Xenopus tropicalis: one gene and its partner. The main gene of each other region encodes a partner of the protein of the gene in region 2 in a complex. Links are inferred from orthologs where the notes say so. Each region holds a gene or a part of one and is shown on either strand. Other genes may lie near its edges.

Region 1 (5,070 bases), on a different chromosome or scaffold from region 2:
AGGAAAAAAGTGAACAAATCTAAATTAGGCAAAAGTCAACCACAGGGGTCTTCCATGAACCCTATTGCGCTATGAAGATTAAATGCAAACAGAAGTTAATGAATGGGAAATACTCTAGTGAACCACCAGCCCTGTATTGGGTGGAAAAGATTCAGTTTACAGGCCCAATACATAGTCGTTTAAACACTACACCACATTTTTCAATTGCTTTCTATTTACAGTTTGACTTTTTTGGCTAAAGTCAGTTCCTAAGGTACTTTCACATCAGGTGTAACTGGACTACAACTCCCAGCATGCTTTTACCCTTTATTATGTTAAAAAATGCCGATAGGTGCCATGGTTCTAAATTGTTTAAACACATTTGGGAGATACATTCTGGGGAGAAAGGTGAGAAACACCAATGTTGTCAAATGGAACACATAGGGCCGATCAAAACGCGAGTTTAGAGCTTAATAAAAACCCACCAACTTTCTATTCATTCCTATGGGATTTGTAGAAGTGTATTGATCAAACAGTGAGTTCTAAGTTTCACCCATTTATAAATAAGCTTCAAAAATTCCATAGAATTGAATATATATATATTTATAGAAAGCATTTGAAAAAAAAAATCCATGATTTGTGTTTACAAAACTCATTTTGTTAAAAGTAAAACTGCCCTTCTGGTATTCTTGTTTTGCCACAGTCTCCAACTTAATATTTAGAGGCACAACTACTGTTAGACAGACATACAAATCAGACAGGTACATATAAAAAACAATGCAGAATTTGGACGGTTTCCCTGAAAAGGATATATACTTCCCATTTAGAGATGTAAAAGCAACCCTGTTCTTGTGTTAGGCCTGCAGAACACAGTTGCATTACTAAATATCCTTCACAGAAAACGCCCAGTTAGGAAATCCAAAAACTCCAGGGCAAAAACTTGGAGGTACTGGTAGTCTGTAGCATGCATTCGAGCAGCGCAGAGGGATAGCACTACATCCAACATCGATGCAGTGTAGGTCAAAGGATTGTAGCCTCAGAATGCATAGCACTGTATAGATTACTATAGGCAGAAGATCTCTGCATATGTCAGTGGTAAAGTAGGTAGCCTTTAAGTGCAGCCGGTAGTGGAAGAGCTTGTATTTCGTTCAGTCTGTCTTTTCCCAATGCAAGGCGAACAGATCTTCGACACAGATCCATCAGTGGAAGTGGTTCAGCTACAGAAAAAGGAAAAAATCCGTTATAGACAGGACTTTAATGAGAGATTCACATTCACAATAAGTCATGACCATTTTTAGACTAAATGCACTGAATAAGTTTCGGGGAACAAATTTTGAAGAATGCATAAATACGGTGTTGTGTCTGAATACTAGTAAGGGATGCACAGGTTATTTCATACAGTAAAAAAAAGTTAAAAAGTGTATGCTAGCATGTATATAGCTCATCTAAAGTAAAAATTGTTGTTAGGCAGCACCCCTGAAGTCACACCTTACAAAATAAATGCATCATTTTATTAACACTTAGTGCATCTGCTTCAAAACAGGGTATGTAAGCCTTGCAGGATATCTGTTGTGCTTCTAAACTGGCAAGTTGCTGCCATTAGTGACCTAGCCAGTTATGCCCTCAATGAAGGCAACAGATGGTGGCATGCTTTGGGCTGGCATAAGCCAACCCAAAAGGAGCCACTGTATTTTGAGTGACAAAGAAAAGAGACGCTGGCAAATTGAAGCTGCCAATTTGTGTCCTTCAGACCAATTTGGCAGCCTGTCTGTGAAAGGGGAACCCCTATGGGCAGACATCAGATGGACGGGACCTGCAGGTTGGGGTCGACACAATATGGGTTGCGTACAGGTCAAGCTCTTTCTGCTGCTGTCCCTCTTTATAGACTTATTTTGTCACCAGCCTACAGGAGGCTATTTGGCAATACACCTGTTTTTTTTATGTCTCAAAAACTTGCCTCCAAGCCAGAAATTAAAAAAGCACCTACTTTAAGCAACATCCTGCCCCTGAGCCACTGGTTGCGGGATCAGTGGTATAATGTATGGTAACCTAAAGTAATATAACTGTAGCCTTTACAAAAAATGTCAGAGCTGCCAGATCAGTGACCAAGTCCACATTTTTATTCTGTAGTTTGAAGGAAATTTTCACTTACCCATATCACTAAAATAGTGCTGTCCTAATCATTGGGGCAAAATTCAAAGCCAAACTGTTCGGTTTTCTGGAATTTATGTTTTTACGTGATGGCCTGGGAAACTTAAAATTGTGGCTCTACTGTATACATAACTACTGTCACAAGTATTAACCAATTCTGTGCTGTTTATCCCTTCTATATATTTAGTAACCCAGAAATTGTGATTATAACTGCACTGAATAAACATTATCTATGATGTAAAGGTAAGTTTGCTGCAACGCCTTCGCTTTCAGAGCCTGCCTTGCCAGTGATTAATGGATTTTTTTGCCAGTTCACGGAGAGGGATGGGCGACAGAGGCCTTCTAATCTCCTGCTGTGTTTGCAAGCCTGTGATAGAAGTGCACTGGCTGAACTTGCAGTGAGCGAAAGTTGGTAGAGATGCCTGAGCCTAATCAATGATAATGTTATTTATTTAAAATCCACTTATATTCAAGTATCTAGGATATATGCTAATTGTTTAGAAGTGATAACGTAAAATTGATGTTACTGCGCATTTAACATGGAGCTATAATTAAGATTAACACAGGAGGGGGGTTTCACCTTTAGGTGAGAACATGAGGATTCTAGCAGCAGAGTTCAAGCTAGACTGAATGGGAGAGAGGTGGAAGCCTGAAAGGGCAATCAGCAGTTACGTTGCAGTATTCCACATGGTATAAAATACAGTATATGATACACCATCCAGGAAGCATGGAAAAGGAGAATTAGGCAAAACAGACAAGACTGAAAAAAATTATAAAACAGGAGAAGGATGGTGGAGATCAGAACAAGGAGAAAGGGAGAGCAAAACAAATCACATTTAGTGGTGTATTAAGACTGGAGACAATGTTGCTCATAGCAACCAATCAGATCTTTGCCATCGTTTTCTTACTTGTAGGTGACAGTTAGGGGCACATTTACTAATTCACGAACGCTGCGTTCAAACACTTTTTTCCGCGACTTTCGTATTTTTAGTGTGAAAAAAAAAATCGGATCGGTTTTGCCGCTGTTTACAATAATTTGCTACGAATAATTTTGTGACTTTCGGATCGCCAATACGATATTATTGTGACTAATACAATTTTTTCAGAAGCATTTTCGTGATATTTGCGATATTCAGATATTTGTTTCCAATCCGAATTTTTCCCATTCAGGACTGAAACTCGTGTTTTGATAAATCTGCCCCTTAGAATTTAATTGCTGCTTGGTTGCTATGGGCAATGTCACTGGTATTAAAATTGTAGACAAATATTAAAGTCACCCTTTTAACTATTCCTGTTAAATAAAATAATGGGTATTGGCAAAGTGGGTATGCTCCATTCATAATTTGCTAAATAATCCAATTTCTACATGAGTAGAAGTGATGTACATAAAAGGGCAGCTAAATTTCACAATATGCAATGGGATAATTTATCAACACTAGGGGGCACATTTACTAATCCACGAATGTCCGAAAGCGGTTTTTTCGTAATGATCGGTATTTTTGCAATTTTTTTAGTCGCCGTTACGACTTTATTGTATATTTTCCGCGACTTTTGTTGCCGTCGTGAAAAATTCAGATTGGTTTTTCTGCCGTTTACTATAGCGCAATACGAAAACATTGCGACGTCGACGAAATAATTGCGCAAAATACAATAAAGTCGCGACAAATACAAAATCGTGAAGGGGACGAAAAAAAAAAAAAAAAAAAAAAATCGCAAAATTTTCGTTTCCAATCCTTTTTTCCCCATTCGGGATTCGAGGATTAGTAAATGTGCCCCTAGGTGTGAATGTAGGTTCAGAATATTCGTGCAAGGGTACACTGTTCAAAATGTAGATATAACTAAGCAAGAATTCAAAGACAGCTGAAAAATCACAGGCCTTCAAGCAAACTGGTATATTAAGTGTGATATTAAATGTGTACTTACGGTCAAGTCCATTTAAGTATCGCATCTTTATTTCACAGTGACCCCACACTGCACTTACAACAGGATAAAGTTTTTTTCCCTTTAGTCCTCGAAAAGCTATTCCCATGTATTGTCCATCCACAACAAAGCTAAGTGTGCCATCGTCCATATCAAGTACCACCAAGAAGGAATCTGGGACAATAAATGTTTCATCAGGCTCCAGAAACGCAGGGTATGTTCTACTTGGCTGATTTTTCCCATCATGATATAGTTTATTCCTGCCCAGGTCCCAGCCCCAAGATTTGCCATTACTGCCTATAAGTGTTGTATAGCCAACAGAATGTAGAGGTGCATCTGCTGTAGCTACTCCAACAACAGCATGAGTCCCTCGCTGCCGCATAACCCAGGTAATCTCCCAAACATGCAAGCCACGTGTGTAACCAATTTTGCCACGAATAGCATCTGTGCTCTGTGCCACCGGATGCCGGTGAAAGACAAGTTTGTCATCCTCCTTCACAAACACATTTAGCGAGCGATCATTGTTATTCCAGGAGTGCTGAAGCTGTACTTCATGGGACACTGGAGGCATATCTAATAAAAGGTCGAGTCTTGCAGGCTTACAGTAATCAAGCCCTTGTAGATCTTGCTTTAGTGGTCTATATGCAGGGTCCCTCATATCTACTGTCTTTATACCTCCTGTGACTTTCTGACCCATGATACAAACCGATTTCACTTTAAGGAGCCAACAACAAGGTCATTCAGCTGGCCAGCCTTCACGTTTCCCTCCTTCCAAGGAACTGAAGCAACAGAGAACTCAGTTCAGTTTTACCACTTCACCTAGAGCAGGAAGAGAAGGTGACATAGGTCAGTCTTAAAATTGTTCACAATAAATCACAAGGCAGAAAAAAACATGTTATGATGTATACAAATATAACAAGGCACATGTGTACAGTCACCTGCAATAAATTACCACTGGCGACTGCACAAAATGACTTTCCACCAGCAAGAATCACTGGTGGGATGGCATACGAGTCAACC
Region 2 (5,070 bases):
GTTTTATATAACCTTACGTACACATTCGTCTGTACACCCCAATAAGGAGGAATTATGGGCAAACCTCAATGAACTTTTTCCCCAAACTCCAGAGAAACAGTCTGGCCTAGAAAGGTGATCTCCAGAAGCTAAATAAAATAGAAGGTCTTTAAGATGGACGGTGTTTTCAGTTGCAACAAACAGACAATGCAAAAGGAAGGGTGCCACATTTCTTCTTTATAAAGATATGAAACTGAGCAGGCTTGATGCAACTGAAAGGACTAATTGGCCTCTCTTCTGGTGCCATAGCTTTACACAGGTAAATGATGTACTAAAACGCCTCAAGCAGGAAAGATAGTCATCAGTCTAAAAAACCTGAGGGTGAGATTTAGAACTACAAAAAGACCTCTTAGATTTTCTGTGAATCATCTTTATCTATATCCCCAGCTGGAGTGGAGCATAACCAATAACCTCCTGGACTGCAGTTGTGGGTTGTTAATATTATGGGCTGAGGGCTGGCCTAACCACATGCAGGACCAATAAAACGCATACAACAACAAGCCTGATAACATGCAGCCTAAGGCCACATGCATATCTGCCTTTTTTGGTTGTGAATGTGATCTAGTTCATTGCACTGATTCAGAGTTATGTCTAATCAAATCCCACTTACAGCCTACAAGACTTGAATACTAGAGATGTGAATCAAGTTGGGAAATCAATAAGATTTCAAATAAGCCACATTATGCAATATACTGCAATCGATAATTTGTTTGAATCAACATGGTTTTATGGGCAATCTTCCACGTTTTCCAAAAAAAAATGGAATATTGAGTGAAGGGTTCTTATCAGTGACAATGCCAATGGTTGTAAGCTGGGCCCCTGGTAATCTGATCTATGCACATAGGAAAAGGGATGCAGGGTTTTTCCCACCAAATGTACATGTATTTAAATTCTGTCTGATTTCAAATGTGTTCCCCTTTATCTGATGACTTTATGCTGTAATAAAAAGCATTGTGCAAAGTGTAGTTCAAACTTTTAGTGAGTATGGCACTATGCCACACAAGCATACTTACTCTCTTTAGAGAGACTTGAACAAACAGCGAGAAAGCCTTACCTTGCAGATCTAGCAAGGCACCAATAAACGCCTTATTTCTTTAAAACATGTATAGCTGCTGCATTTTCTACATAGCTCCAAGTATCAACATACTGAATTCATGCTGCACTTGCATATCTCCAAAAGGTCCATTTTTTGCTGGAAAGTCCCTAACTGCTGACCCCCAAATGAGTGGGATTTACAGAAAAGTGAACTGGTGTTAAGGTAGATAACTGTATGCCTAATATGATCCTAGAAGAATCAGGGCATGGAGGAAGCACCTTGTTTTTAGGAACTGGAACGTTGGGAGGTATTCACTTGTTATTACTTTTTTTGTAAAGACAATGCAAAAACATATGTGTGGCCTTGGTGGAAAAGATCTGATGGTATAACAGCAACAGAAAAAAATAAAATGTGGTGGCACATGTGGCCTCTGTACACTCAAGGTTTCTTGGTTAATAAAAAAAAAAAAACGTACTGTCATTTTTTTTTGAAGACTAAGTACCCAAGGGCCTGTCCGTCAGATATCTATATAATAAACCGAGTGTGAAATCTCACACAGATAAATGTAAGGTACAAGAAAAACTAATCACCAATGGAAAAGTACAGACTTGTTCTGAATGACACTTTGCCATTATGATCTTTAATTATATATTGGAAAAAAAAAAAAGACACTGACAGTCTGCGGCCTGCTCCCTGGTCAGTCCCCCTTCTCCCCCACTGTCTTTTATTAACATAAACAAATTAGCAGCTATGTGATAGACTCCGCAAAAATTTAAATTCACTTTCAAAACTGTCCAAAATGGCAGTATCCGTTAAAGGATTTAGTAGCTCTTTCTGTATCAAGGCTCTTCAAGCAAATGTGTTTTTTAAGCAGACATGGTTTGTTTGGCACCATCTTAAAGGAAAAGGAAAGCCTAAGTCACTTGTGGTGTCAAAATGTTAGGCACCCCCAAGTGACTTAAATCGCTTACCTTTTACCCTGGGCTGGTGCCCCTGTTAAGAGAGAACAGCACCAGCCCGGGGTAGCTGCGAACGATCCTGTCTTCCGTGTTGGCGCATTGCGCATGCGCAGTACAGTGAAAAGCCGAACTTTAACAAGAAAGTCGCTTTTGACTCTAATGCGCATACAGTGGCCCAGGGATTTCGCCGCAGAAGAAACGTGGAAGAAGGAAGCGCTCGTTACAGGTACCCCAGGCTGGTGCTGTTTTCTACTAACAGGGGCACCAGCCAGGGTTAAAAGGTAGGCGATTAAAGTCACTTGGGGGTGCCTAACATTTTGGCATCCCCAAGTGACTTAGCCTTTCTTTCCCTTTAAGTAGTTGTTAGCAGTATACATTTACATAGTAGATACAGTTAAAAAAGATACATGTCCATCAAGCTTAATGTGTTGCAGTATGTATTTTATTATCAAATAATATTACCTGTAAAAATGAAATACTTTTTAAAAGCTCCATTACAGAAATAAATAAGAGTATGAGAACTATGATCCAGAAAATCAATAGCCAAAAAGCTCTGAATGGAATTCTCATTTCCCAAGTATGTTATTTAACTAAACAGTAGTTTTTGGCTGATTTCCTTTATAAAGGCCACAGCACTCCGTTATCGTTTAATATCATTATATTTTATAGGAGAAAAAAACGTTTTTTATAAAAACAAGTTGTTATTTAAAGGTAAGCTCTGTATTCTGGTGTAATACAGTAGAGCCTGATTTTAAGTACCTGGATTTAATGTTTTTATAGAATTTACACTATTTTTCGTGGCCATTTAGCGTAAAATCAGGTTCTACTATATTAGACTTTAAAAAAATAAAATGTGCATACCTACTGGTTATTGTAAAAGGCACTTTTGTAGCCCTCCATACATCAAAACCCTCTCAATGTAGCCCTTCACTGCTTTTGAATTTTATATGGCTACCTTACATGAAAACACAAAAGAGTTTTGCATTAAGTAAAATAACTTACTTCTACTGAGGGGATGTTAACCACTCCTGTAGACCTCCTCTTTTCTCGAAGCTTTCTCTTCTCAATCTGTCCCTTACCCTTCCTGGCACTAGGTCCACTGCAACTCTTCTTTTCTTTTGCCTTTGTGTGAGTTTCCTGTGAAACTGGTGGGGTGGACTCATCCTGCACGTTTCCTGCAGATACCCCATCTTGCACAGGACCAGGCACTTTCTTTTGCTGCATCACAGTAGATGGAACTATTGGATCCTCATCTGCCTTCTTATTTGCAGGACCTTTATTGATTGAGGGTGCTGCAGATACTGGGTTGTTTGTAGGTGCTGCATTGCAGTTACCATTGTTGTTCAACTCACTGCTAGCTTTATTGACAATGTCATTGCCTCCACATTCTCCTCCCCCTCCTCCTCCTGTGGCTGCTATCAGTAACTCATTTGCAAGCATTTTGGCTCTCATCTTCTCTCTCTTGGCTTTCCACTCCTCCAAGAAATCAGTTGTGTTAGAGGAAGATGGGTTGTGTGACTTGTATCCCCCACTTGCCATGTTGTCTCCAAGTCAATGATGATCACACAGGTCCACAAATCTTCAGTACATTAAATGGACACTTGACGAAAACAAGAGCACAAACATATAAGCATCTGTGGGAACGTAACCTTGAAGAGAAAAAAAAAAACACATCTGTCAATAACAGCTATTTTGTCCTGCTCATAGTAATCATTTAATAAAACTGCTACGTTTCAACAATATAATAATATCTCTGGAGAGTTAAAGGGATGAACTCTGTGTCTTTTTATGCAGACCATAAGTTAGACAGCATCCCTTACTATGTTCAGATGCCAATGGGAGTGGGTCTACTGCTTGACTGATGAGACATTCTCTGTGCCTCTCAGTTTTCTTTAGACACCTGATAAGCAGTGGCAAGCATTAGGACTGCTCCAGCCTCTGCAAAGAAGCAGAGTGAAATTAGCTATACTGGAAAAAAAGAAAGTAGCCCTAGTTATTAATGTAATTGTTTAGTAATATTTAAAAAAATAATTAAATAATAGAACAAATAACAGGTTTAAAGGGGTGGTTCACCTTTAAGTTAACTTTTAGTATGTTATAGAATGGCCAGTTATAAGCAACATTTCAACTGGTCTTCATTATTATTGCAGAACAAATCCTGAAATAATTAAAAAACTACAAATAAAAAAATAAGACCAATTGCAAATTGTCTGAGAATCTCACTTTCTATATCATAATAAAAGTTAACCCAAAGGTGAACAACCCCTTTAAGTGTGATGTTCATCTTCCTAAATTTGCCCTAGCCACCAGGAAGTGGTTTGAATGAGAGAAAGGAAGATGAATAGGTGAGTCGCTGAAGAGAGATATAAGCAATACAAAGTACCAATGCAATTGAAGCATCCCAGAGCAATAGTTTTTTTTACTCCTAGGGTCAATATCACTCATATGCAAGCTGGAAAAAGACAGAACTCAAAAACTATTAAAAATTAAATCCAATTTAAAGGTTGCTAAGAATAGGACATAACATATCATACTAAAAGGTAAACTATGCCTTTAACAGCTGGATATCAGGCTATTGTAAAAAAAAAAAAATGCCTTAACTGCTGAAACAAAGTAATGTATTGCTTGTCTCTGAAGTAACAAGGATTAAATAAATCAAATTTACAGGGAGGAAGCAAGGAAAAGAACAGCCTTTTCCTTAACAATGTTTTGGTGTCCCAGAATTTAAAGATAAGCAAACCTCCACTCAGCAGCCAAAAAAAAATCATGAGAACTGGACATCAAACGCACAGCTTGTTACCAGCTTAAGGGGCATATCTGAATTGTGCCAGTAATACAAAGCACATGCCGTTTCTATTCAATTTTCTGCTGCCATCACAACAATCAGATCTTTTGCCCTGTTGCATGTGCCCTTCCTTATCCAAAACCCTGACTACAACTGCAGCTATTTGGTATACAAAGGTACTGATGCTGTGCTGCTTGTTTCGTCAAACTGAAAAGCATCTGCATCTTCATTTTCCTTATTCTCAGAATATT

The links. Proteins that work in one complex are often made in the same cells at the same time.
Region 1: the proteins of pawr (region 2) and spsb1 are in contact, whole or in part, in a crystal structure (PDB 2JK9), measured with the Homo sapiens proteins. The link is inferred for Xenopus tropicalis from reciprocal best matches to the Homo sapiens genes PAWR and SPSB1. Residues at the interface, in NP_001341661.1 of Homo sapiens: Glu68, Leu69, Asn70, Asn71, Asn72, Leu73, Pro74; in NP_079382.2 of Homo sapiens: Arg77, His78, Pro79, Val80, Ala81, Gln82, Gly110, Thr111, Tyr129, Val216, Trp217, Gly218.

Annotation. Positions count from the first base shown.
Region 1 is NC_030683.2:89,874,714-89,879,783, reverse strand, and holds part of spsb1 (SPRY domain-containing SOCS box protein 1), read right to left. Parts: intron 4,870-5,070; 5' UTR 4,748-4,869; coding exon 4,054-4,747; intron 1,197-4,053; coding exon 1,069-1,196; 3' UTR 1-1,068. UniProt on the Homo sapiens protein: Substrate recognition component of a SCF-like ECS (Elongin BC-CUL2/5-SOCS-box protein) E3 ubiquitin-protein ligase complex which mediates the ubiquitination and subsequent proteasomal degradation of target proteins.
Region 2 is NC_030679.2:62,531,116-62,536,185, forward strand, and holds part of pawr (PRKC apoptosis WT1 regulator protein), read right to left. Parts: intron 3,684-5,070; exon of another isoform or gene 3,635-3,683; 5' UTR 3,574-3,634; coding exon 3,037-3,573; intron 1-3,036. UniProt on the Homo sapiens protein: Pro-apoptotic protein capable of selectively inducing apoptosis in cancer cells, sensitizing the cells to diverse apoptotic stimuli and causing regression of tumors in animal models.